Linked DNA regions of Sus scrofa. The main gene of each other region encodes a partner of the protein of the gene in region 6 in a complex. Links are inferred from orthologs where the notes say so. Each region holds a gene or a part of one and is shown on either strand. Other genes may lie near its edges.

The links.
Region 1: MED13 (region 6) and MED23 share a complex: the UniProt entries of both Homo sapiens proteins name them as parts of the mediator complex. The link is inferred for Sus scrofa from reciprocal best matches to the Homo sapiens genes MED13 and MED23.
Region 2: MED13 (region 6) and MED4 share a complex: the UniProt entries of both Homo sapiens proteins name them as parts of the mediator complex. The link is inferred for Sus scrofa from reciprocal best matches to the Homo sapiens genes MED13 and MED4.
Region 3: the proteins of MED13 (region 6) and CCNC are in contact, whole or in part, in a cryo-EM structure (PDB 8TQC), measured with the Homo sapiens proteins. The link is inferred for Sus scrofa from reciprocal best matches to the Homo sapiens genes MED13 and CCNC. Residues at the interface, in NP_005112.2 of Homo sapiens: Tyr1342, Ser1630, His1631, Val1732, Lys1733, Thr1734, Thr1736, Phe1738, Gly1739, Pro1740, Gly1741, Ala1743, Arg1897, Met1898, Ile1901, Asp1905; in NP_005181.2 of Homo sapiens: Gln7, Gln13, Trp14, Leu16, Gln19, Lys23, Gln26, Lys27, Arg75, Tyr76, Glu144, Leu145, Asp147, Cys148, Ser221.
Region 4: MED13 (region 6) and MED18 share a complex: the UniProt entries of both Homo sapiens proteins name them as parts of the mediator complex. The link is inferred for Sus scrofa from reciprocal best matches to the Homo sapiens genes MED13 and MED18.
Region 5: MED13 (region 6) and MED31 share a complex: the UniProt entries of both Homo sapiens proteins name them as parts of the mediator complex. The link is inferred for Sus scrofa from reciprocal best matches to the Homo sapiens genes MED13 and MED31.
Region 7: MED13 (region 6) and MED7 share a complex: the UniProt entries of both Homo sapiens proteins name them as parts of the mediator complex. The link is inferred for Sus scrofa from reciprocal best matches to the Homo sapiens genes MED13 and MED7.

Annotation. Positions count from the first base shown.
Region 1 is NC_010443.5:31,991,207-31,994,706, forward strand, and holds part of MED23 (mediator of RNA polymerase II transcription subunit 23), read left to right. Parts: intron 1-340; coding exon 341-557; intron 558-2,442; coding exon 2,443-2,679; intron 2,680-3,500. UniProt on the Homo sapiens protein: Required for transcriptional activation subsequent to the assembly of the pre-initiation complex. Component of the Mediator complex, a coactivator involved in the regulated transcription of nearly all RNA polymerase II-dependent genes.
Region 2 is NC_010453.5:19,550,601-19,554,657, forward strand, and holds the start of MED4 (mediator of RNA polymerase II transcription subunit 4), read left to right. Parts: upstream 1-1,257; 5' UTR 1,258-1,305; coding exon 1,306-1,433; intron 1,434-4,057. UniProt on the Homo sapiens protein: Component of the Mediator complex, a coactivator involved in the regulated transcription of nearly all RNA polymerase II-dependent genes.
Region 3 is NC_010443.5:66,475,755-66,479,254, reverse strand, and holds part of CCNC (cyclin-C), read left to right. Parts: intron 1-1,962; coding exon 1,963-2,042; intron 2,043-3,351; coding exon 3,352-3,470; intron 3,471-3,500. UniProt on the Homo sapiens protein: Component of the Mediator complex, a coactivator involved in regulated gene transcription of nearly all RNA polymerase II-dependent genes.
Region 4 is NC_010448.4:85,382,604-85,386,884, forward strand, and holds the start of MED18 (mediator of RNA polymerase II transcription subunit 18), read left to right. Parts: upstream 1-1,481; 5' UTR 1,482-1,682; intron 1,683-2,243; 5' UTR 2,244-2,312; coding exon 2,313-2,385; intron 2,386-4,281. UniProt on the Homo sapiens protein: Component of the Mediator complex, a coactivator involved in the regulated transcription of nearly all RNA polymerase II-dependent genes.
Region 5 is NC_010454.4:50,731,681-50,734,969, forward strand, and holds the end of MED31 (mediator of RNA polymerase II transcription subunit 31), read left to right. Parts: intron 1-1,548; coding exon 1,549-1,741; 3' UTR 1,742-2,789; downstream 2,790-3,289. Other genes in the region: TXNDC17 (thioredoxin domain-containing protein 17), read right to left, coding at 3,102-3,170. UniProt on the Homo sapiens protein: Component of the Mediator complex, a coactivator involved in the regulated transcription of nearly all RNA polymerase II-dependent genes.
Region 6 is NC_010454.4:36,332,259-36,336,540, forward strand, and holds the start of MED13 (mediator of RNA polymerase II transcription subunit 13), read left to right. Parts: upstream 1-1,482; 5' UTR 1,483-1,622; coding exon 1,623-1,688; intron 1,689-3,522; coding exon 3,523-3,757; intron 3,758-4,282. UniProt on the Homo sapiens protein: Component of the Mediator complex, a coactivator involved in the regulated transcription of nearly all RNA polymerase II-dependent genes.
Region 7 is NC_010458.4:66,113,273-66,117,395, forward strand, and holds the start of MED7 (mediator of RNA polymerase II transcription subunit 7), read left to right. Parts: upstream 1-1,323; 5' UTR 1,324-1,603; exon of another isoform or gene 1,604-1,898; intron 1,899-4,123. UniProt on the Homo sapiens protein: Component of the Mediator complex, a coactivator involved in the regulated transcription of nearly all RNA polymerase II-dependent genes.

The DNA.
Region 1 (3,500 bases), on a different chromosome or scaffold from region 6:
GGCTGTTTTCTCTGCAGCTCTACTGTTTTCTCTCTGGTCCGTATAGAAGTGAATTAGCTCTCTTAACTTTCTCAAGGTTCTAGAGGCTATCTGTAATGTTCAGAATAAATTAAAACTATAGTTTTAGTAGACATGAGTACTTAAAAAATGAAAAGAATTATGTATGTAAATGTATCTTTGAAACAGTAGAGATTTTTTGTTGGATAAAAGGACTCTTAAGTTTCATTTTATTGTAGCAGCAAACAGTTTCAGATTCTGTGAAAAACGACAAGTTTAGCTCCTTTAAGGAGAAAAAAAAAAAAAACATGCCTCAACATTTACCATTTCCTCATTTCCACAGAAATATCCGGAGAAGCTCTATTTTGAGGGCCTGGCAGAGCAGGTTGATCCTCCTGTGCCGATCCAGTCTCCCTACCTGCCCATCTATTTTGGAAATGTGTGTCTCCGCTTCCTTCCAGTATTTGATATAGTAATCCACAGATTTTTAGAATTGCTCCCAGTATCCAAATCATTGGAGACTCTACTAGATCACCTGGGAGGCTTGTATAAATTTCATGGTGAGCTTTTTCAAATTTTAATTCCATCTAATAGCCCTGTAGACAAAAGTAGGCTGGTCATGACCAAATGGATAATGGTGATTCTAAAGGTTTTATTTTAATAATTTTAATATAAGTGTTTTGAGAGGAGGTATGTGTGATGATGCCATGAAATGTAAAATAAATGACATAAAAATATCAACAGATCAGAGCAAAAAAAAAAAAAAAGTAATATGCAAGAGAAGCCTTGTTGTATATATTGTGTGATTAATTTCCAAATCAGTACAGAAGGAAAAAAAATAAGTTCAGAACAGACTGGTGTTACTGTGAACTAAATAGATCTTAGTGGGCTTCTTGGATGGTTAGGGTTTGAACTATGATGTATGGGATTTATATAAATAGGAAGGAGAAGAGAACATACTAGGCAGAAAAAATCTTTTGGAAGAATCATGGAGATGTTAAAAACAAGGCATTTTGAAAACAGTCGTCTCGTTGGGCTAAATTGTACCTGATGGCAGATCACCGTAAATGCCAGGCTCAGAAGTTCTGATTTTATAACCTAAAGATAATCAAGCATTAACTAGAAGTTACTGAGTTAAGTCATGTCATAGTATTATTTTAGAAAGATAAATCTAGTCAGTTGTAATTCCAATATGGACAACTTGGAAGGAGGAAGTCATTTTAAAGACTTATAACAAGACATTCAGTTGTATTAGCATCTAAACAAGTATGATGGCCTTGAATGAGAAAGAAGGGACAGATAGTCAAGGAAGTAAGAATTGGGCTTGATTGACCAGTTATGGGGGGAATATCAAAAGAAAGCAAAGACAGCTCTATGATGTTTTAAGCTTGATAACTGGAGAATAGTGAAATCAGTGACAGAGTGTGGAAGTCTTGGAGTAGCCACTATGGGGACAGAGTGTTTATTTGGGGGGTAGTTCTTCTTAATCCTTGGTGTAAGAAGTCTTCCTCCAAAACAAATCTGAATTATGTTTTAGCACTGTAGAGTAAGTATGAAGTTCAAGGGAGCAGTCTTTTAAAAACACTTCTCTGGAGTTCCTTTCGTGGCTCAGCGGAAACAAATCTGAATAGCATCCATGAGGATGCAGGTTCAATCCTTGGCCTTGCTCAGTGGGTTAACGATCCAGCGTTGCTGTGGTGTAGGCCTGCATCTACAGCTCCAATGTGACCCCTAGCCTGTGAATTTCCGTATGCTGTGGGTACAGCCCTAAAAAGAAAAAAAATTTTAAAAATAAAAATACTTTTCTTTTGGATCGGATAATATATGCACATAATGAAGTGTAAAGTAGTTAGTCCCAAGCCTGTGCTCTAGTTCAGCAGTTTCTTTCTCTATAAGCAATTTCTGTTACCACTTTCTTGTGTATCGTACCATAAATATTGTGAGGTTGGTAGTCTTTTTCCCACAAATATGTAATACTACACATTGTTCTGCACCTTTTTTTTTTTTTAACCTTTCTAACCTTTCTAATGTATTGGGGTTGATAAATTTGTATCAGTACATACAAAGCTGCTTCTTATATGCGGTAATTAAGTTAACCTGTCCACTGTTTTTCACTCTTTAGGCTGTTTTGATCTTTTGCTGGTATAAGCAGGGCTTCAGCGACATTGCTTACATTTATGACATTTTTTGCAGAGTAAATTTCCAGAAGTGGAATTGTGACCTCAGAATGTGATAAATATCCTTCAATATAAGCTCTGTATATTGTTAGAAGCCTTTTGCCTTGTCCTAGGATAAAAACATTCATTGTATGCACTTGGCCAACATGTGAAGTAGTTTTCATAACCTTCTGAGCTATTTATTGGTAATCTTAAAAATAGAAGGTTATTTTTTCACAGTTGTCAGTAACCAGGTAAACATTGTAGTGACCTCTTTTCTTCTTGGCAGATCGTCCAGTAACTTATTTGTATAATACTCTGCACTATTATGAAATGCACCTGAGAAATCGTGAAAGTCTCAAACGAAAACTTGTCCATGCAATCATTGGGTCGCTCAAGGATAACCGACCACAGGGCTGGTGTCTAAGTGACACTTACCTGAAATGTGCTATGAACGCACGAGAAGACAATCCCTGGGTCCCCGATGACTCCTACTATTGCAAATTGATTGGCAGACTAGTAGATAATATCCTTTTTATTGTGCTTTTCCAGTCTCTGCAGAAATAACTGTATGTCGATATGTGTGAACATATGTTGTCTTTTTATATGTTCCAAGACTTCAGGTTTTTTAATGTTTTATGTTTTAATTTTTGCTTCTGTAAAGGTTTTGAAATCTTAAATTAGTAGCAGCATGCCATGTAGGTAGAAATTTACTCCACTAAAATTTATATTTAAAAAAATTTATATTTAAAAATTTATATTTCCGCCTTCATGGCTCAGCGGAAACGAATCTGACCATTAGCCATGAGAACGAGGAGGATTCGATCCCTGGCCTCGCTCAGTGGGTCAAGGATCCGGTGTTGCCGTGAGCTATGGTATAGGTTATAGACACAGCTCGAATCTTGCGTTGTTGTGGCTATGATGTAGGCCAGCGCTACGGGTCCAATTAGACCCCTAGCCTGGGAACCTCCATATGCTGTGGATGCAGCCCTAAAAAAAGAAAAAAGACCTTAGAGAAGAGATTTATTTCAAAGAAAAATATCCTATTCCTAAATAAATGTACTAAGTCTTGTAGTACATGCATCTATTCACCACCAGAGAACATAGAATTTTGTTGCTTTAAATAAAAACCTGAATTTTTTAAAGCATTAATAGATAGTAATAAAACTTCTTTTTCTTTTTTTTAGTGAGAAATTCTATATTGATATTTTTATTTCAAGTAATTAGCACATTGTATTTAATAGCACATTGTACACCATGCCACTATTTACTAGGTTTATTTTACTACACAAAGGAATTATTTCCTGAAGTAAAAGAATTACTTAGGCTAAAGAAATTTTCTTATTA
Region 2 (4,057 bases), on a different chromosome or scaffold from region 6:
CAATTAGAGGCAAAACTATAGATAACTACAGTTTGTTTTCAGTTTCTGATGATTTCAGCACCTCTGTCAACAACAAATCCAATAATAGTTATTGGGACTCACCGTGTTTCAGACAGTATTCTGAGACTGGGGCTAGGTCTTTGAGAAGTTCCAAGAGACTCTGCCCTCATGGAGTTTATATCCTAGTGGAGGAGACAATTAGCAGAGCACACATCAACTGACTTAGGTGAAATGTTAGAAGATGACAAATGCTGTAGGAAAAAATGAAGAGCTGGGTAAAGGTGGCGGAAGGTGGAGGTGAGACGGCAGTTGTAAACAAGGTGGCCAGGGTGGGGGTCCCGAAGAAAGTGCAGTTTGTGTCCCAAGAGCAGATGGCCTTGTGACTTTCTGGGGGGCAACCCATGAAGGCAGGGAGAACAGCAGTGCCAATGCCCTAAGGCAGGAGCGTCCTGGTGCTTGAGAACCAGAATGACTGGAGCCGAATGAATGAAGGGGTGTGACTACAGAAAGGCCAGAGGATGCTGGTGTTGGTAGCACAACAATATGAATATACCTAATTCCAGTGAATTGTACACTTACACACCATTAACACAGTAATTTTATGCTGAATGCATGTGACCACAGAAAAAAAAAATTAAAGAAAATAAGGATTACATTTCCTGTCCTAAAGAGCTCACAGCCTCCCTGAGAGCCCGAACAGAGGGTGGAAATAGCATTATGGGAACGCAGACTAAACAGCGATAAATCCGGTAGGTCCCCGGCCCATTGCTCAAAGACACTGACACAAGATGCAGGCCATTATGTAATTCCCACAAATGCCCTTGAGCAGGAGTTCCCACTGTGGCACAGCCCAACACTATTAGGGGCATCTCTGCAGCACTGGGACGCGGGTTTGATCCCCAGCTGGCACAGTGGGTTAAAGGATCCAGCGATTGGTAGGTCACAAATGTATCTGGGATTTGATCCTTGGCCCAGGAACTCCGTATGCCCGCGAGGCGGCCAAAAAAAAGGAAAAAACAAACAAACAAACTCCACTGAGCAGCTGCTTGAATAAGCTAAGGTGCTGGAAACCTGACCGCGTTGGGCCCCCAGTTCTGGGTTTGGCCCTCGCTCGCGGGTTGGACCCAAGAAGCCCTCACTAGCCCAGCAGATGGCGCCGGCGCCTGCAAGACACCTCCAGGCGCGCAGGGGGCGCTCTGGCCCAGGCTCTCTACCTCGCCTCTGTGACCCTTCCTTCCGCCCGCGGACCGACACTCTTCCTTAGAGCGCAGCTGCGCACGCGCCGGCTGTTAGTGTGTCGGGAGGATGGCGGCGTCTTCGAGCGGCGAGAAGGAGAAGGAGCGGTCGGGCGGCGGCGGTTTGGGAGCGGCGAGCGGCAACAGCACTCGCGAGCGGCTGCTTTCTGCGCTGGAAGACCTAGAGGTCTTGTCCAGGTGAGGCCGTCGCCTGGGGGCCTGGCTGGAGCTGGGCCGGGAGCATTGACTCAGGCTGGTTCCTGGGTCTCGGCGGGGAGGGCCGCACTCCGGGACTGCGGCGCGCGCTTCGGAGGCAGTGCGCGAGGGTCGTGGACGTAGGCCCGCAACCCTCGGGGACTCGCCGGCATTCCCGCCCCACCCCCATAGAGGACATTTTAATACTGCCAGTGACTCTGGAACCCCAGACTCTCAGAATCGTAGGGACCTTAGAGGTCGCCGGGAGAGTCGCTTCGTCCACCGGCCTTCGACAGACATGTAAGGAGCTCCTCCCGCCGGTCCCGCGCTGGGAGACGGTCCTGAGGGAGACTAGATACTGACGTAGACGAGCCCAGTGTCCGGGGTAGACAGACGTGTAAACAGTAACTGTGGCGCGGAGCCTGTTTGGATTGGAGGCTGCTGCAGCAGGGGCGCTAGGCGTCTGTCCCCCTTGTCGTCAGGGCAGGCTCCCTGGAGAAACGAATGCACTCTCTAGAGGAAGTTAATTCAGACTCTTTAGCTTAGAATGTCCAGCAAGGGCATTCATCCTGTTAATCCATCCTGTTGTCGCTGCACTTCTCAGCCCTCCAGTAATATCCTTTATTCCAGCCTCGGTGAACTGCTTCCCAGCTTCCTTTTCTTCAGTGCGTTTCCACTCCACCTCCAACCTGATTCATTTATCCTCCAGAATCCTGTTCAAGTGTCCCTTTTTCTGTAATCAACATTCTAAATCTTACTATATACAGGCACACCTTGTTACACTTTATTGCACTTTGCACATATTGCATTTTTTACAAATTGAAGGTTTGTGACAACCATGTGTCAATCAGGTCTGTTGGTACCATTTTTCCGTCAGCATTATTTTTAAATTAATGCTGTTTTCTTTAATGTATAATTGTTTTTTAGACATAATGCCATGGCACACTTAATAGACTACGGTATAGTGTAAACATAACTTTTATATGCACTGAAAAACCAAAAACTGAGTCACTTTATTGTGGTAGTCACATCATTGCATTGATGTGGAAAACTGAACCTGAAGTATCTCTGAGGTATGTCTGTAATTGTATTATCTGATCTACTAATAATTACATTTTTATCTTTGCTGTGAGTTCAGGCCTTGCCATACATGGCAAGCATTACTTACCAGATTCCTTGGTCAATGTGATACCAAATGATGTTTTAATATACTAAGTAACCTGATGCTAAAAATGTAAAAACACATAGACACCGGAAGTTAAATAGCTTATGTGTTTAATTCACTGTTTAGGCTATTAGATTGAAATACCTTGTAGTGACAAAAAGGACACGTGGAATTTTGGCGTCAGTACAGTGAACAAGGAACTCATGGGCATAAGACAGCAATCTTAATGTTTCCTCTGTGTAAATGTTCACACAGATTAATTCATGTGCTATTTCCTTCATGTTGATTCACTTCCTGGCTTGTGGAGAATTTGTCAGCTTCTTTAGTTAATCCTATCAGATGAATATCAGCATGATTTCTTAGTAAAAAGACCTTGGCGAGACTGAGTTCTCCGAGTATGAGGTTTTCAGTTAAATTATTCAAGTATCCGAGTTCCTGTCGTGACGCAGAGGAAAGGAATCTGACTATGAACCATGAGGTTGCGGGTTCGATCCCTGGCCTCCTCAGTGGGTTAAGGATCTGGTGTTGCCGTGAGCTGTGGTGTAGGTCGAATACATGGCTCAGATCCTGGTTGCTGTGGCTGTGGTGTAGGCCAGCGGCTACAGCTCTGATTCGACCCCTAGCCTGGGAACCTCCACATGCTGCAGGTGTGGCCCTAAAAAAACAAAAAATAAATAAATAGATAGGACCAACTGTCAGATGATGAGTGTAAAATTAGTCAAGTAAAAAATGTTCCTTATAATTTCTTCGTTTTGACCAACTATGTGATGTAGGTGGTAGCAATTAATTTTTCTATGAATATGTTGACTTTGTGAAGAAGTGATACCTCTTTTGGGAAGTAGTGGATGCTGGGTTTTGAGTAGAAATTGAAATTTGAAATATGATAATTTTAAATCTTTGCCTTGGTTTATTCGGTGAACTGTTACTTCTCACCCTTCTAATCTGGAACCCAGTAAATTCATTTCTTTTCTCTGCTTTACTTGCAGAGTAACCGTAGTATATATTTCATATTCACCAAGTTCAGGAACTGTTTCTAAACCTGCCCTTCCAGGATAACGGTCTTTGAGAATGTCTCTTGACACTGAACAACCCTGAAGTCAAATCTTTCCATCTTGCCTCTGGATTGATTGGCTCCTGGGTTGGGTATCTGAGGTGTGTTTACCTGATGCCCTCAGTACCTGGAGGAGTGCATATCCACATTTGATTCCTGATTTTTGAGTGTAGCATTATCTGTTTGATAAAGTGTATTTACCTACTGAAGTTTTGGATCTTCATTTAGATTTTCCTCAAGAACCTCAGTGTTTCAGAAACTTCTTCAGCTTTCCTGTTGCATCACTTGGGGTGCTGAGTTCTTCTGAAGTTCTTCTGTTTCCCATTGTCCACAAATGCCAAAAAGGCTTGGATTTCTCGTTAATTTGTATTCCTCATTGTAATCACCAGTACTACAGGATCTAGCCTCTGT
Region 3 (3,500 bases), on a different chromosome or scaffold from region 6:
TGATGTCAGTAGTGCCAAGGTTGAGAAACTGAGCTCTAAAGAACTGTTTTAAATGCGGAATTTGGAAGTTCTTGGTGGCCTAGCAGTTAAGAATCTGACATTGTCACTGCTGTGGTATAGGTTACAGTTTAATCAGAGCTGCAGCTGCTGGCCTATGCCACATCCACAGCAACGCTGGATCCTTAACCTGCTGAGCAGGGCCAGGAATCAAACCCACATCTTCATGGATACTAGTCAGGTTCAGAACCCACAGACCCATAATGGGAACTCCGTCCTAAGAACCTTCTACATGCTGCAGGCGAGGCCAAAAAATAAAATAAAATAATAAAATGCAGGATTTATACCCCTATTAAAATCTTTCAGTGCTCCTCCCAATTTCTGGATAAAATTCACACCTTCTTTTTACCATTTCTGCTCCCAATTCACATTTTTGGGTTTTTTTTTTTTGTTTTGTTTTTTGTTTTTTTGTCTTTTGTCTTTTGTCTTTTTAGGGCTGCACCTGTGGCATATGGAGGTTCCCAGGCTAGGGGTCTAATCAGAGCTGTTGCTGCTGGCCTATGCCACAGCAGCGCCAGTTCGAGCCGCGTCTGACCTACACCACAGCTCATGGCAACACCAGGTCGTTAACCCACTGAGCGAGGCCAGGGATCAAACCCGCAATCTGATGATTCCTGGTCGGATTCGTTTCCACTGCGCCACGACAGGAACTCCCCAGTTCACTTTTTTAAAAAGCTGACTCCTCTATCTTGTTAGTGGCACTTTCTGTATCACCTCAGTCTGGGTTTAGAATGTCTCCTCTGTTCCTAATTTACTTTATGTGTGACTTATGTCATTTTCCACTGTATTTTCATTACCTGTATTTATTTATTCATTCATTCATTCATTTTCCTTTTTGGCCATACCCATGGCATGTGGAAGTTCCAGGCCAGAGATCAAATCTGAGCTGCAGCTGTGACCTCCACCACAGCTGCAGCAACACCAGATCTTTAACCTTCTGCGCCAGGCCAGGGATCAAACCTGCTCTGCCACAGAGATAAGCCAGATTATTAACCAACTGTGCCACAGCTAGAACTCCCTAATTACATGTTTTTATAATTTGTCTTTTGATCTCAATCTGTCCTTGACCTAAGCCTTACTTTACAGCTTTGTTTAACATAGGGCAGCCAGTATGTAAGTTCATGTTTGAGTTGCTGTTTGCCTAGAATATCCTTCTTAGCAAAGTCTTATGGGTAACCAGACTAGGGACTATAACACTTAACAACTTTGTGTGGGATCACTATAGCCAGGCTGGTTGGGAGAATTATATTAGGTAAATTTATGATGTAGATTGTTGCCTCTGAGTCTTTCACTATCTTTGTTAGTTTATGTTGTAAATAATGTATATAATTACATTGTGTGGAGTATATTACTTTTTTTCCCCTCAGCTCTATTTGATTATAACATCAAACTCTGTGCTAGTGTGCCCAGTTTATACCTAACTTGATCTTATGTTAATAACTTTAAAAAACAGAGGGACTGCTACTTTTAATTGAAATACCAAAACATAGTCAGTGTTGTTGACATTTATCAGTGTTTTGATTGCTAAATTTTTGTTTCTTTTTGTCACATGGACTTTTGGGTGCATTTTCACCACTGCTTTGTACTGCTGTTCAGGGATCCTTTCCTGCTATAGTTCCTCAGTGGATTTTTTCCTCTCTGACATGCCCTGACTCTCAAGGCAACCGCACCATGACTAGCTCTCAGTGGGGAGAACTTTACTATATGTAGCCCAATAACTTTTCCTATATGTAAGATTAAATTAATAGGGTGATCACTGGTAACTGTTACATGAATCTATATAAATATTAAAAGGAATATAAGAAAATACACATAAAGTTTTAGGTGACTTTTAAAATCTTAAGTGAGTCCATGCATTCCATGTTTGCACTTAAAACATGGACCTTTGTCTCATTTTCTTTCCAGCCTGCCTGCATGTAGCCTGTGTTGTACAGCAGAAAGATGCCAGACAGTGGTTTGCTGAGCTTTCTGTGGACATGGAGAAGGTAATTTTTAAAGTTTCCTTGACTGAATGTAAACTTGAACATTTTAAAATTAATGTTATACTTACTTACCATGAGACTCAAATTTCATGATGTCAGCCAGGCTAAGAATATTTTTGGTAAAGAAACGCTAAGAAATATGTGACTATTTAGGTTATATTTCTCTTCAGTTTAGGCTTAAATAGAATGGTAAATTTAGGGTTTGATGGTTGCAAAGCAGCCTCTAATTGCCAGGATTATTTTATTTTATTTTATTTTATTTTAATTAAGTAATTAATTAATTGTCTTTTCTAGGGCTGCACCTGCAGCATATGGAAGTTCCCAGGCTAGGGGTCTAATCAGAGCTGTAGCAGCCAGCCTACACCACAGCCACAGCAGCTCAGAATCCAAGCCTCATTTGCAACCTATGCCACAGCTCAGGGCAACGCTGGATCCTTAACCCACCGAACAAGGCCAGGGATCTAACCCACAACCTCATGGTTCCTAGTCGGATTCGTTAACCACTGAGCCACGATGGGAACTCCAAGGATTATTTTAGCTCTGATTATATTTTGGCCGAGCCCTCAGCATGCAAAAATTCCCATGTCAGGGATCAAACCTGAGCCACAGCAGTAACAATGCATAATCCTTAGCTACCAGAGAACTCCTGGGACTGTTTTAAAAGCTGCCTGGTGACAAGTGACCTAGTGAATACTACTGTAAACTTTTGTAATACAGCCTATCTCCTGACAAAGTAGTTTTTGCCCTTTTTTCTACCTTTTTTGCTGAAATATTCTAGAATCAATCCAAGGTTAGGTCTACTCAGGTGAAGAAAGGGCAGATTTGGAAAGCAGATTTGAGAGATTTGTAGCTGCTGGTTTTTGAGCACCTTCACTCATGTGTAGCGTAGTTAATAGAGAATCAGAACAAAGTCTTTTGTGCACTACTGCCCACTAAATTATTTGAAATGATTGTTATTAGAGGAGTATACTCTGTAGTGGCATACTCTTCATAATCTAGACCTCTGTTCCTTAGTACCTCAATATTTTGGTTTGGTTTAAGATATCAATAGATAGAAGGAAACTAACTGCGGAGATGGATAAGGATAGACCAGGTATACATATTAAAGATGAGAGGTTAGGAGTAAAAGCCGAAATTGCTGTATGGTAAAAATAGTGCTTTCACATTTATCAGGATTGTCTAATCTAAGCTGAAGGACAGGGGCAATCTTTTCACTGTTTTCTGAGGGATATCTAATACGTGATATGTCTTCTTTATATACTAAGTGTTGCTTGATATTGCCGTAGAGAACTTTTCAAATATTTTCTTCTAGATTTTGGAAATAATCAGGGTTATTTTAAAACTGTATGAGCAGTGGAAGAATTTTGATGAGAGGAAAGAGATGGCAACTATCCTTAGTAAGATGCCGAAACCAAAACCTCCTCCAAACAGGTACTTTGTAGACTTTATATATTGATTTTA
Region 4 (4,281 bases), on a different chromosome or scaffold from region 6:
ATGGTTCCTAGTCGGATTCGTTCCTGCTGCTCCATAGTGGGAACTCTGAGGCCTCACATTCTTATAACATTTTCTCCATCCCTATAAATCATGAGTCTTGTCCAAGTTTTACCATATTGTTCACCCAATTCTTACCTATTCTTTTTTTTTTAATTTAATCCTACTTTTGAAATGTCAGATAAAATGTGGGTAATATTTTTTTTAAGTTTAAAAATGTAAATGAGTAAGACAGTATAAATTACAGCAGGGGAAACTGGAATTATAAATGACTGTATAGGAGTTCCCATCATGGCTCAGCAGAAATGAATCTAACTAGTACCCATGAGGATGCAGGTTCCATCCCCAGCCCCAGTCAGTGAGTTAAGGATCCAACATTGCCATGAACTGTGGTGTAGTTGCAGACTTGGCTTCGATCTGGCACAGCTGTGGCTGTAGCGTAGGCCAGGGGCTACAGCTCCGATTCAACCCTGGCCTGGGAACTTCTATATGCCTTGCTCGGTGAGTTGGGGGTCCAGGATTGCCATGAGCTGTGGTGTAGGTCACAGATGCGGCTCAGATCGCACATTGCTGTGGCTGTGGCATAGGTCAGCACCTGAAGCTCTGATTCAACCCCTAACCTGGGAACTTTCATATGCCAGGGTGCAGCCCTAAAAAGAAAAAAAAAAAAAAGATGTGTAGCAATTAAGAGGGTGGGTTCTGAAATCAGGCAGCTGCTTAAATTTGTACCCCAGTCTAAACTCCCTGGTGTGTTATTTCTTGATGCCTAAGTTTCTCCATTAGTAAAATTAAGTAATAATTATACTTGGGTTACAGGGCTGCTGTGAAGATCAAAAATTCCAATATTTTGTTCATTAAGGATTTTTTTTCCACATTAAATTCGTAAAAGATTGCATTACAATTTTTTGAATTGTTAGGAGTTTTGGTGCCCCTTAAATTTTTCGCTCCAGGGAGTGCCTCAACCACCATACTCTAGCTCCATTCTTTGCATTTTACATGCTTGACACACAAGCAACATTCAATAAATGAGCTGAATTTACTTATCTCCCAAAATTTTTGAATTGAGGTAAAATAAACACAGAAGAGTGAACAAATATCAAATGTATTGCTGAGTTCCCTAATTGTTCAGAACAGTCTGCTAAACAGTAAAAGATGTCTTTCCTTCTTATCTTCAGGTACTCAACCAAAAGAAGTTTTGGTTTTATGATCTCTTTTTTTCTTCAGCTCTCTTCCCCCGGCTCTCTTTTCCCCCTGTAAGTTCCAAAAGAATTCCTTGACAAAAACAACTCCAGGCCGTCACACTTGAAAAAAGGAAAATATTTTCCGGGAGGACTGCCTTTGATGTCAAGGTCCCCCTCACGCCCCGAGGAACGCGCTCAGGAAGGCCGCCCTCTTCCACGCAGAATCGCAGTTTGCGCATGCGCTTCTACTTGCCAGGCCGCAGAGATGATTTTTATGCCTTCCCGGCACCCTTACGTCGCAGAATGGTGATGTCAAGATTTGCGCGACGGAGACTTTTTGCCGGAAGTGGAGGGGAGAAAGTGTTGCACTCCACCGGGGGGTGGGGGTCTTCAAGTTCAGTGCTGGGGGCTAATTATCGCTAAAAAGCTCCGAGGTGCTCTGGTGGCTTCAGTTCCCTGCTTTGCCAGAAAAGGCTAGAACACGCGCGGAGGTGTGTTTTTGGTGTGAGTAGGCACGCGTCGATGGTGGGGTAGGAGGACCTCAATCGTCAGAAGAACTTCGCACTTCTGTCTGGCTCGCTTTCAAAGGCGTTTTGAACGCCTAGATTTTTGTCTGGTTTATCTCTGCCATGGACTTGCTCTGTATCCTTCCCTCCAACCCCCACCCAAAGTGTCAGTATCCTCATCTCCAAATTGAAGGGGAGTCACCTCTCAGTTCTATTATTTCACGGCTATTGTGTCATCTGAGCCACAAAGCCTTGGGGGTTAAATGTCGACCTCATTTTATAAGGAAGACATTGAATCCCAGGGTCAGCGGTTTGATGGCTTATTGCACAGGAAATTCTGAAACTGAAGGTTTCAGACCTTGAGACTGAAAGATTATAACTCCATGATCAGGCCTCCTTTGTGTATTTCTGTATCATCAATTCCTGAAACTGACTTATGGAAGTTGTTCAAAAAGTTCTGGATGAATGAATGAATCTTTTGATGTTAAGGCTAATGACCCAGGTAGATCTGGTGTCTCTCCATCTCTCTGATGTATTAACAAGCATAACTCTTTTCCAGGTGTGTCCTGTGCTTTATTTGACTGGGACTCTGAATCCGGTTCTGTTGCTTTCAACTTAAACAGATAGCATGGAGGCACCTCCAGTCACTATGATGCCTGTCACCGGGGGCACCATTAACATGATGGAGTACCTGCTGCAGGGTAAGTGAACTAGGGAGCTTAGATTACCTGATTTCCTCTTTTCTGTTCAGGTTCCATGGAGATGAAAGGCTAATATACAAAGGCTACATAATTTCTGGCACCTCTTTTTTTTTTTTTTTTCAATTTGGCTTTAATTATGGTCACAAACATATAGCATTAAACATTTTGAGCATAACATTTAGTAGTGTTAAATATGTTTGCATTGTTGTATAGCCAATCTCTAGAACTTTTTCATCTTGCAAAACTGAAACTCTGTACTCATTCTTCCTTTCCCCTCCCCCCAGCCCTTGGCAACAACTTTTCTACTTTCTTTTTTTTTTTTTCTTTTTTTATTTTCTTTTCTGCTGAACCTACGGCATATAGAAGTTCCCAGGCCAGGGATCGAACCCACACCACAGGAGCAGCTCTGGCAGCTACAATGACAACACAGGATGAGTAACCCACTGCACCACAGGAGAATTCCAAACCTTTCTACTTTCTGTTTCTAATTTTGACTACGTTAGATAACTTTATATGAGTGGAATCATATGGTATCTGTCTTTTTATGACTGGTTTATTTCACTTAGTATAATGTCCTCAGCGTTTACCCGTGTTATCACACGAGACAGGATCTCCTTTCTAAAGGCTGAATAATGTTCTATAGTATGTATATACCACATTTTCTTTATCTGTTCTTCTGTTGTTGGACATTCAGGTTGCTTCCACCTCTTGGTTAACATGGATAATGCAGTGAACATGTGTATGCAAATATCTCTTCCAAGATCCTGCTTTGAATTCTTTTGGTTAAATATCCAGAAGTGAAATTAATGGATCATATGATAATTTTATGATACTATTATTAATTCTTGTAGATCAGGAAATAGAATTGAAGTAACTTGCCCAGATGAGAAAGCTCAAAACTCAGTGTAATGATTTTCAGGAGGCCTTATAATGTTTCGCAAAAAAGTTTAGACTTTGAATTATCCATTTAAGAACTTAATATGGAAGTTCCCGTCATGGTGCAGTGGTTAATGAATCCGACTAGGAACCATGAGGTTGCAGGTTCGATCCCTGGCCTTGCTCAGCGGGTTAAGGATCTGGCGTCACCATGAGCTGTGGTGTAGGTTGCAGACACGGCTTGGATCCCACCGTTGCTGTGGCTCTGGCGTAGGCCGGCGGCTACAGCTCCTAGATTAGACCCCTAGCCTGGGAACTTCCATATGCTGGGGAGAGGCCCTAGAAAAGACAAAAAAAAAAAAAAAACTTAATATGAACGAAGTAGGGTTATTAACTTTCATTCTTCCAGCTGTCCCTCCTTCAGTCTTTTCCATCTTAGTAAGTGCCTGTCATTCACCAGTTGCTCAAGCTATGAATTCAGGAATCAATCTCCATTTTTTCACTTTATTCTCACCTATAGCTTATCTCTAGTTCTGTTTATTTTACTTCCAAAATATATATTAAATATGTCTTTTCTCCACATGCAATGGCTTGGTTTATCATCCTTTGAACTATTTTAGTAATTTTGTGCTTATTGCATTGCTTCCACTTTTGATCATCTGTCTCTTCTCACACAATAGTTCAACATCTTTTTTTGGGGGGAGGCAGTTTTTTAGGATCCTTAACCCACTGAGCGAGGCCAGGGATCGAACCCGCAACCTCATGCTTCCTAGTCAGATTCGTTAACCACTGCGCCACAACGGGAACTCCAGTTCAACATCTTTTTTAAAAAATGTTTTATTATTAAAAAATTCAGGGAGTTCCCGTCGTGGCGCAGTGGTTAACGAATCCGACTAGGAACCATGAGGTTGCGGGTTCGGTCCCTGCCCTTGCTCAGTGGGTTAACGATCCGCGTTGCCGTGAGCTGTGGTGTAGGTTGCAGACGCGGCTCGGATCCCGCGTTGCTGTGGCTCTGGCATA
Region 5 (3,289 bases), about 14 Mb from region 6:
AGTGAGGCCGGGGGTCGAATCTGAGTCCTCATGGATGCTAGTTGGGTTCGTTAACCATTGAGCCACGATGGGAACTCCTCTGTGGTGATGCCTTTTTTTTTTCTTTTTTTGTCTTTTCACACCCATACCTGCAGCATATGGAGGTTCCCAGGCTAGGGGTCTAATTGGAGCTGTAGCCTCGACCTACACCACAGCCACAGCAACGCGGGATCCGAGCTGTGTCTGCGACCTACACTACAGCTCACCCCCCTGGCAACACCGGATCCTTAACCCACTGAGCGAGGCCAGGGATCAAACCCGCAACCTCATGGTTCCTAGTCGGATTTGTTAGCCACTGTGCCACAACGGGACCTCCTGTGGTGATATTCTTGATTCCATCATTCTCTGTTCATTTATTAGTTGGAATTCACTTGAAGGAACGTTTCCTTGTTTCTGATTTCTTTCTTCATTTTAAAAGGTTAAATCAATATGGATTCTTTATCTTGTGGATTGTAATTTTTTATTTTCTTATGCTAGTGATCCCAGATGTAGCCAGTGGGAACCCCTTCAAATTGGCTCTTGAGGACTTTTGACATAGCCGCCTAATCTTTAGAGCATTTTCCTTTCTGGCACTACATATATTCCAGGCTCATCTTGTTCTTTCCCTGTGTTAGCTATGCCAACAAACCCTGGATAATGCTATTTAAAACCCACGACCTGGATACTCAGTGTACTCTTGGTACTGGAGTGCCATTGCTTCTAGGCCTTCTCTGCACGTAAAGCAAGGAACAGTGTGTGTGTGTGTGTGTGTGTGTGTGTGTGTGTGTGTGTGTGTGTGTGTGTCTATGTGTCTATTTCTGTATCTGTCTCTATATGTTAAAAGCCACTCAGTTCATACTGATGTTTTCAATTCCAGCTCAACAACAGGATTCTTTCTAGCCTCCCCCCTTCCTTATCTGAGATTCCTTTCCTGAGAGCTGGATATTTGGCTATTTACAGTGTACATACTTATGTATTTGCTCAATCTTAGCATATATGTACATAATTTCAAAATTGTTATATCCCTATGGAAAACTAGGATACAATATTTGTGCATAGTTCTTTCTGAAACTGACTCACTTTTAAAATAAAAGCTGTCTTTTTATCATTATTTATGGAAAACCAATAGGTGTTAATTAAACCCACAATTACTAAAATAAATAGTGTTCATGTTTATCACCTTGAAAACCACTGGAATAGAATAGCATGATTTGCCCCCAAATGTTGACTGTTTACCAGTTATTGTGTAGTCTTAGGCAAGTTATTTAATCTTTCTAAATTTAAGTTTGCTCACTTTTGAAAATTTTGCTGGCTTTTGATGATAAGCTTTTCTGTATAAGCAAAAAAAAAAAAAAAAGAACTGTACTATCAAGATAGACTAAGTTAATGTTAGGTTGCAGGATCATCTGGTATGGTAACACAAATGATACCGTAGAAATGGTAGGCTGCAGGATCGTTTTTGAATAACAACTAGAGCATGGTGTTATTGACTTAATTATGTTGATAATTAACTTATAAACTTAACCCCAGGTACCCTCAGTGTTTACACATGTTAGAACTGCTCCAATATGAACACTTCCGCAAGGAGCTGGTGAATGCTCAATGTGCAAAATTCATTGATGAGCAGCAAATTCTGCATTGGCAGCACTATTCCCGGAAGCGGATGCGCCTTCAGCAAGCCCTGGCAGAGCAGCAACAGCAAAATAACACATCAGGAAAGTGAAAAGCTGATCCAGACCAGGCTCTTACGACATGTATATATTGCTTTTGTACATGAAGACAGAAAAAGACTCTTGCTCCGAACCTTTATTGTGACAGCACCCAGAACCGATAGTGTGCTATTTAATTGAACTAATTTTTTATTCTCAATAGATTATTTCTTTTAAACTAGAATTGTTCTTTCTCTGTGGATCTGTAAGCTTTCATTAGTATTTAATAGTCAACTGACTAAGAGTAGAAATGTTAGGTGCTTCAGACCAATTTTAGAGTTGGGGAGCTGGGGCAAGGGGAGAGCCACCAAATATCCCAAAGTTTAAGCAAAACTGTTCATGATGAACAGTGGGACCAGGGGCAAATCTGTCTCTAGGAACCTTGCTGTCCCCTCAGATCAGCTACGGCACCCTTCTAAGGAGTGAGAGAAGTGGAATCAGTGACCTCTACACATCAAAGCAGGAACTGCATAAATTTCCTACATTCTGCAGGGCAGGAGGCATACCTGGAGCACCAGCTACTTTGCAGGAGAGCCTTAAGGGAGAATTGAGGTCAGGGAGTGTTTGTGGTTAATTACTAATAGGACTCTCGACCTTAGACTATAACAAAGGTGAGGTGCCTCAGATACTTGTGCTCATTTGGGAAAGCTAACTTTTTTTTTTTGGCAGATACCACAAACCAGGCACTATGTTAAGTGCTTAGTTGCATTCTCATTTTATCCTTAGAACAGTCCTTGTTCATAAAGGAGAACACTTAGGTGTAGACAAGTTAGGAACCTTGCCTGTGGTTACACAGCTAGTAGGTGATAGTCAGTGAGACTGGCTAAAAGGCTAGGTTATATGGCCTCCCACCACTAGGTTGTATGGCTTCTGACCTCTCCGCCACCTGCCTCATCCCGCACAATCAGACAGCTGTAAAACAAAAGCAGGGGCTGGATTAGATGTGCCTTGCTATCCTTCAGTGGTTAGATTAAGTTCTACATTCTAAAGCCAAAGATGTTTTAGGATAACAGTTCTTTTGTAAGTTCATGGAATTTAAAGTAAAAGATCCTAACTTCTTTAGAAGTCTGGAAACTATCTTCTTCACTATCAGCGGCTTTTAGATATTTCTGCCCATCTCCAATAATATCCTCCCCTTTGGGCTACTACTGCTACTCCTGAAGACTTAGTTTATCCTTAGTTCAAACATATCCATATATTAAAGCAGACTAAGGGTTCATGAGCATTTTAATTGTACTCTCTATTATTTAGACATACACAGTTTTTCTTTTAATCATCATTTATTTATTGCTAACATGAATTCAAAGCAAGTGTGCAGTTTCTTTTATACTAGAGCAAATCAGGAAATCAAGACACAATTGCCATCATCAAATCTTACTCTTCAGAGAACAACATCTCCACGAGGTTGGTCTGAAGACACTCAGATTCTACCAGTTTTTGAGGCTGTAAAAGAAGAACAGTCTTATTTTAACCCATCACTACAAAAATGTTATTAGGAGGGGAATGAGTTCTGCCTTGAATGACACAGATCTTGGAACAGAAATTATCAACTAGTTGTAACA
Region 6 (4,282 bases):
AACTAATGTCTTATTGGGTTCCTACTTCTTACTATTAATTCATCTGCAAATTTACAGGTATCAAGCACCTACTGTGTGCTAGGAATTTTTTTTTTTTTAAGACGCCAGAGAGATAGCGGAAAACCAAAGTAAGTCCCAGTTCTCCTGGAGATGACACTCTAATGGGCACTTTACATACACTGGTTCACTTACTCCTTACAATAACCATATGAGGTAATGATGACAACAACAATAGATCAGTCTAAACAATGCATATCTGTGCCCAGCACTTGTCTACCTGCTTTCTTTGTATTAATTCAATTACCACAACAACCCTGTGAGGCAGGGGATATGTTTTCCTCATTTTACAGATGAGGAAACTGAGACAGAGAGGTAAGTGATTCTCTCAAGCTTCAAACCCAAGCAGTGGGGCTCTAACTCCCAGGCTGTTAGCCGCATGACTATATTGTTTCATTTACGTTTCGTTCGTAATATCACAACTTTCAAGCGGCTGAGTCCTATCGCAGATCTAACTCCCAGGCCCACGGGTTTGCGCTGCACCCCAGTGGCCTTGTAGAATAAAGGAGAAGATCTAGGAATTTTTGCAACACTTCTAAGGAATTCAAACGGATTTCAACGTAATTCCCAGATTTGTTATGTGAACCCTGTAAATTCCCCGGGAAGAAGTAAGATAGGGCCAGGGCCCTGGGTCATCTCACGGTGGCCGGGGCACCCAGCAGATGGCGCTATCTTAGTAGCCACCAGCTGGCTGCCCAGTCCCCCTGGGCTCACCGCCTCTGCTGAAAGCTTCCCGGCTCTCCTTCGCTCCCTTCTCTCTCCCCCTCCCCACGGAGCCCGGGCGCACGTGACCTCCAGGCGGCCAATGGGCGAGCAGAGAGGGCGAGCTGGTCCCTGTGGCCGCCATTAAAGCGAAGGGAAAACCCGTGAATTCGGATTAAAGGGGGAAAAACACCGCCCGCTGGGCCCACAAAATGGGGGAGACTACGGCGTCCCGGCGGTGAGGCCGCAGGAGAGCGGACGTTAGGCCGGCTTGGCCCAGGGACGACACGAAGACACAGCCAGAGAATGGTCTGAGCCCGCAGACGCCGCCACCACCTCCGCCACTGAGGAGACTCTGGGCTTAAGGACATCGCCGCTGCCGGGTCGGGGGCCTGGGCTTCTCTCCCGGTTCTCGCCCTTCCCGCCCCTCTGCGGGCGCCTCCCCGCCCGGGAGAGCCCTCCAGGGCCTGGGATCTGCCCTCTCGGACTCGATTTTAATTATTTATTGTGTAATTTATTATATTTTCTTGTGGCAGGGGCACACATCCCCTCTGTCCCCGAGAGGGACGGGCGTCCGCGGGCTCCGCGGCGGCCGCAGTCCGGCCCGCGGGGCGAGCGCGGCGCGGCCCTCCCGCCTCCGGCTCTCGGCCCCGGGCGGCTGGGTGCCGGCCGGGCGGCGGGGACTGCTCGCGGCGGCGGGGGGGTGGGTGGGGAGGGCGGGCGGCCCGGCGGCCTCCTCTTCCACCGCCCCCCAACCACCACCCCCCCGCCCTCCCCGGTGTCTGTGTTTCTCTCTCTGGTCGGAGGCGGCGGTAATGGCGGATGGTGGGTTGTGGCGCCGGCGACGGCTGCTGTGAGGGACGATGAGTTCCTCCTTCGTGCCGAACGGGGCCAGCCTGGAAGATTGTCACTGTAACCTCTTCTGCCTGGTGAGTGCGGGGCGGGGGCCACGGCGAGCGGGCGTTGGGGGAGGGGCCGCGAGGTGCGCCCTTGGGCCGTGGGGGAGGGGGTCCGGGTCGGTTCCAGATGCCGGAGTCCCCGGGCTAGGCCCAGCCGGAGCCGGAGCCGGCGCGGCGGCCAGCTCGGCACCAGCCCGGCGGCCGCGGTCCTCTCCGGCGGTCCCGGGCGCTGTGTTTCGAGTGTCGGCCCTTTTTCTCGTTTCTGACTCTTTTTCCCCCTCCTCTGGTAGTCTGGTCTTTAACTTGGGCTCCTTATCCGGCAGGACACTAGCCTTTCCCTCTGTTTCTTGCTTAACTGTTGCTCTCCTCCTCATGGACCGTGTATCCCTTCTTCACACTTACCCATTATTGCCCGTTCTCCTTCTGTCTCACTCTGCTCATCTGGTTTCCCCCCAAAAAGCGGACCCCGGAACTTAAGCACTCTTTTCGTTGTCCATTTTTTATTGTGAGTCAAACTATATAGGGGGGTTGGTTTCTTCCTTGCGCGACTTCAGGCTCTGTGTAAAAAGGAGTAGATGCCATTTCATATGTTTTTTCTTCAAACTTTGAAAACAACTTGCCATTTTGACAATTTTTAGCCATTTTGCTTTTATTAGAACATTATGTTTGTGAGAGTGGAGCGAACCAGAGGAGGAGGTGCTGTGGTTTTGCACTAAATATTTTTGTATTTGTCTAATTTGCCTTCGTTTTTAGCATATTTTGAGGGGGCTGTTCCTTTTTTTATTGGAAAGTCAGGGAAAGCTAGATTTAGGGATGATAATTGTGTACGTTGGCCCAGATCTGGGAACATCCAATAAAGACTTTCAAAAGTACCAACTGTTGCAAATATTTAGTTTTCAATTGGATAGTAACTTAGCTTCATCAGTGATTTAAAGTTTAGGTGACTTTCTTTTTTCATTTTCCCTATCCTATGAGAAATATTAAGAGAGTGTGTGATAGGTAAGTGAATTGAGTGGGCGGAGCACAACTAGTTGGCCAGTGTAAACTGCCAGTCATGTATCAGCAGTTTCATTTTTGGCACCTTGCGCTTTGCACCTTTAAGTTAGATTCAGAATTACAAGTTCGCTCTAATGAATTTCTTTTCACGATGCTAAACTGAGATCTTTAATTTTTATCTAAAAAATAAAATGTTTTCTTGTACAGTGTCCATTAATTTGCATCTCTTGAGCTGTAAGAAGACAGCGGGTTTTACATTTCTGTCTTCTCCAACTCAGTCTATTTTTGGTACTTTTAGGATCAGGTTCTTTGAAGATAAGACTAGCACAAATCTGACGGTTCTTTGTCAGCAGCTATTTGACTTTTCCTAAAAGGAATATGTAAAGATTTAACAAGATTTTTTTTTCAGTTGTAGTTCAGGTTTCTTTTCGTTAGAGCCATGACTTCTATAAACATGGAATGATGAGTCTTTAAAAATTAATTTTCTGTTATAAGTTTGTCACCAAGGAACAAATGTAACCAGTCAGAACAGAAGTTAGGACAGAGAGCAAATGTTTACTCAGTGTGCAATGTTAAAGTACATGTTTATGTTTAATATTAAGCTTCTTTTATTTCTCCTTGGGACACATTTATTGACTTGTTATTTAGTGACATGTCAGTGTTAATTTTTAAATTGTTTTTGTTCTTTTCCTTTGATTTTTGGTTATTGAATTATCAGAACTAATAAACATTTTTGGGGTCAATCTGCTTTCGATATCCTGAGCATACATTAAAAATTGTAATGACTTAATGAAGAGACTTTAAAGCAAGTGCTTTTGATTTTGAGTGAATATGCCCTAATAAAAAAATCATACTTTGTTTTCTTCAGGCTGACTTGACGGGAATTAAGTGGAAAAGATATGTATGGCAAGGCCCAACTTCTGCCCCTATTCTGTTTCCGGTGACAGAGGAAGACCCCATTTTGAGCAGTTTTAGTCGCTGCCTTAAGGCAGATGTGCTTGGTGTTTGGCGGCGAGATCAAAGACCTGGAAGAAGAGAATTGTGGATATTTTGGTGGGGTGAAGACCCCAATTTTGCTGACCTTATTCACCATGACTTGTCAGGTGAAAGCAACTTACATTTCTAACTAATGATGTAGCCATGTATACTCTTCCCAAAAACGTTTGTATTACAAATTAAGATTGAGGGGGGGTGGAACATTGTTGGGTATGAAACCAGATAAAATTTCAGCTTCATGTTTCATTTCACTGGTTATTTTATTTTACTCAGAATTATGCTTATTATGGCAGGCTTTTTAAGGCTTTAAAAACTTTATTCTTTATTCTTTTTAGCTTTCTCATGAATTTTTGGCAGACAGGGCCTAAGGAAGGCATGCTACATTAATTACCCTAAAAATGTAACCAGGGGAACATTACCTAACAAAGTCATAAAATACTTTTGAAGCCAAGTTTAATTCATCTTTGAGTCATTTCTGCCACTGCTTTCTTCTGTATGAATATGCAGACCGTTGTAGAAGTATCTAGAAGTGTTGTAATTTTCTCATATTTTTTTTTAGGCATATAGTAATTTTTTAAATTTGCAATTCTTAAAAAATTAACATATGAAGGCATTTGTTAATTTTGTTATCC
Region 7 (4,123 bases), on a different chromosome or scaffold from region 6:
AGTCAAAAAGCCAAAAAACGAAAACAAAAAAAAAGTGAACATATTTCTTCAACAAATAAATTGATGTGTGTGGGGGGGGGGACTGAAATGGAGGAAGGAAACTATAGATTAAAAGATAATAGAAAGAGGAGTTCCCATTGTGGCTCAGCAGTTAATGAACCTGACTAGCATCTGTGAGGATGAAAGTTTGATCCCTGATCTTGCCCAGTGGGTTAAGGATCCAGCTTTGCCCTGAGCTCTGGTGTAGTTCACAGACGTGGCTTGGATCTTGCATTGCTGTGGCTGTGGTCTAGGTCAGCAGCTACAGTTCCAATTAGACCCCTAGCCTGGGAACCTCCATATGCCCTGGAGTGTGGCCCTAAAAAGCCAAAAAAAAAAAAAAAAAAAAAAAGATAATAAAAAGATACATCAGCTAGTCACAAAAGACTTCATTGCATCTTCAGACATTTGGTATTTTCATACTGATTTCATTGATGAAACTAAATCAAGTTATTAACTTATTTTTAAATGAGACAGTGGTTCTGTGGTTCAATGAAAACAACAATAAAACCCCCAAACAAGTCTTTATCTTTCAGAAATGCATACTGAACTGAAATAATGTCTATAGGTAGATAATTATTGAAATTGAAAGTAGAGACTATTCTCTACTTCTATATATGTTTGGAACGCTTCATAGTAAGTTTTAAAAACTGGAATAAAAAAATCTTTTTTTTTTTTTTTTTTTTTTTTTTGTCTTTCTGTCTTTTTAGGGCTGCACCCACTGCATATGGAGGTTTCCAGGCTAGGAGTCCAATTGGAGCTGTAGCTGCCAGCGTAAGCCAGGGCCACAGCAAGGCGGGATCCGAGCCGTGTCTTGGTAGCATGCTTTTTTGTAAGATTCCCACAAATTTAGAAATGTGTAGCACTTCTTGAAAGTCGCCTCCAGAAGAAACTCTTACATATCGTTTTGTTTTATGCTTGTTAATTTGTTGCCTGGAAATGTAACAGAATCTGAATACGTGAATAAAACTGAATGGACGGTGAAGAAATATAAATTAAGAATATGTTGCTTCCCAACCATTTTCACACATATTTCGAGATTAAGATTTCCATGTTCCAAATTATTTCCAGCATGTGGAGTCCAATCTCATTTCTTAAGGTTATTTTTAAAATTATTTATTTATGTATTTATTTAAATGTTGTTTTTGACAGTGGGGTAACATTTTTTTAAATGTAACGTTTAAAAATAGCTGCTTGTCTCTATTTTTTAAAGTTTATGTAAGGCATATGGATGCTTTAATTTTAAGCGTTAAAAAAAAACAGCAAAAAAAGAAACGACGCTACCACGTGCCACTGCTACTGATAGAAAAAGCACAAGAAAAGACTCCAACACCCCAAACCCTGCGGCTGCCGCCAAATCGCGGAAAGAGCGGGGAGAGAGGAGGTTATGCGCAGGCGCAATAGCGAGCCATCGGTCTGAGGCGGGACTAGAGCCTGGGTTAAAGGACAGCTCTTTCCGCCAGTCAAGAGACAGCACCAGTAGCTTCTTCCGGGAAGAGGAGGCCGGAAGTTGGACTTCGGCTGTGGTGGCGAAGGCGGTTACCAGTGTAAACCCAGTACCGAGGTGAGTGGGCGGCGACGACTTGGGGCTCGGTTCCGTCCGCTGCATTTCTCCTTCCGGACCCCGCCGCTTCCTCCCGGCGGGCTGGGAGTGGTGGGAGGCTTGGCGCATAGTGTGCTCGCCCACCTTCCTCTCCCGCGCCCTTCGGGGAGCGCGGCCTCCCCGACCCCCGCGGAGCCGCCGGGTAGAGCGCCTGGAGGAAGGTGCTCTCCGCGCAGTGGGCTGCGGGCTGCTTCCGAGTCGGGATCTCGAGCTGCGCCGGAGGTCCGGGGAGCTGAGTTCCAGTCGTGTGCCGCTGGTTTGTGTAGCCTCTGCAAGTCTCTTGGCCCCTCCGGCTTTATGAGATAACCAACCCTCCCTCGGGGATCAGTCCTCTAATCACATGAAATAGTGGGAGGCTGGGAAGGAGGTAGAACTATAGCCTCATCATCAGATCATCCAGAGAGGTTTTGAAGGCAGCTTTTAAGCGTCCCCCTTCACAGTAGAGAAGTGAGCAAAACCTCTGGGACTGGCACCCTGGAATACCTTTCTGTTTTAGTTAAGTCCTCCAAAACGAAACAGACACTGAAAGGTGGATCTTCAATCTGATCACCACCTGTGATGCCTGGCGCTGGTTTTACCAGAGACTTCCATCGCTTTTGACAAGTTCAGCTGAGAGAAGTGATGGAGAGAGAAACATAATTTCTGTAGTATATCAAGTTTTTTTTGTATTGTTAGGCTCTTGGTACTTCACTGATTTGAGAGAGCTTGATGGTGCAACAAAAAGGACCTAGATAAGAATTCCTGCTCTGCCATTTATTAGCTTTTTGATCTGGTTGCAGACACTCCCTCTCAATGAGACAGACTTGTAATTATCAGCTCTAAAATGAAATCGATAGTGGTATTAAACTCACAGAAATATTACGAAGCTTAAGTAAGGGAGGGTATAAAACAGTGATACTGGAGTTCCCGTCGTGGCGCAGCGGAGAGGAATCCGACCTGGAACCATGAGGTTGCGGGTTCGACTCCTGGCCCACTCAGTGGGTTAAGGATTTGGCCTTGTGGTGAGCCGTGGCATTGGCCGCCAGCGGTAGCTCGGAATTGACCCCTAGCCTGCTTCTGAAATTGGGAAACCTGCTTCTAAAATTGAGACGGCCACTCTGAGGGCACCGAGAGGAAGGGGAGTGTTCTGGGAGCCCCAGGTCCGGGATCCAGGGCCCACTGCATGGAAGGTGTTCTGATGTTTGTTGAATGATGGAATAGTTGAAATCTTAATAGTCTGTTAGATGGGAAGGATCCTTTTTAAAATTTGCTTTTAACGGTGCATTAGTCTGAATGTTTTCAAGCTTTTATTCACATTTCCATTTTCTTTGTCATCTTTTGCCTGTTTTTCTATTAATTTTTAAAAATATAGGTTAAAAACAACCACAACTCATTGAATCTTTATTGAGGATTTAGCACCTTCTAGGCATTGCTTGAAATACTGGAGGTACATTTTTGAATAAGACAGACAGTTCCTGAAGTCGTAGTGCTTTTCTTCTTGTGGGGATGGAGTCAGTAAAAAAATCAAAATTAAATTCCTAGTATTTGTCCTTTGTTAGCTTGCAAGCATTCTTCTCCCAGAAAAATGGGATTGTTTTTTAATTTCGTTTATGATATACTTTTCTATATGGTTTTTAGATTTGTTTTTGGTAGTCAGATCTGTTGGTCTTTTGTAGCACCCTTAAGCCGTGTAGTTATCTGTTGTCCATTTTCCTTGATAGATTTTTAAGCAACGCTAGGATGGAGGCAGTGTTTCTTAAGAGAGAGAATGGTGTAGTGTTTGACATTCTCAGACTCTGGATCCTTCCTTTACTCTGTGACTTTATAGAAGTGGGTCAACCTTTCTGAGCCACAGTGGTCTCATCTCCAAATTGGAAAGAGCACTTTTCTTTTCTTAGATTTCTCATAACCATGAGAAAAGTAATTAAGAACAGTGTCTGGCACATAGTATACACTACAAATATTATCTGTCATAATCATCATTATCATATATTAGACAAACAGTAAATGTTTGAAGGAATAAATGCATGTTAAAGATGTTTGTACCTACTTCCAAATTTCCACTGGTTTGGAACCCTTTTGAAATGAATGGAGCTACCAGCAAATATTTATGAAGCTTTTGTGCGCAATTGACACAGTGAGAGCTGTGATAGTTATAGTCCTTCCCCTTGTAGCTTATAGTCTGACTGGGGCAACAAATCAGATTCTGGTACAGAGAGTAAAAGAGGAAAGGAAGAATCTGTTTTTGATGAATAATCAGAGAAGTAATATCTTTAGAGGTGACAATTTTAAGCTAGTGCCTGAAGCAGGAAGAAAATCATATGGAAAGACCCAAAGGCAGGAGAGGTTGGTGTAAAGAATTGTATAAGAATACTGGAAAACATTTTTTCTAGGATAGAAGGGAAAAGGAATGTGGTGTGAGAGTTGGGTTGACTGGTATATAGAGAAGAATAGTAACGAATATGAAATAATCCCTGGTGAAGCCATTGTGTTCCAGGTAAG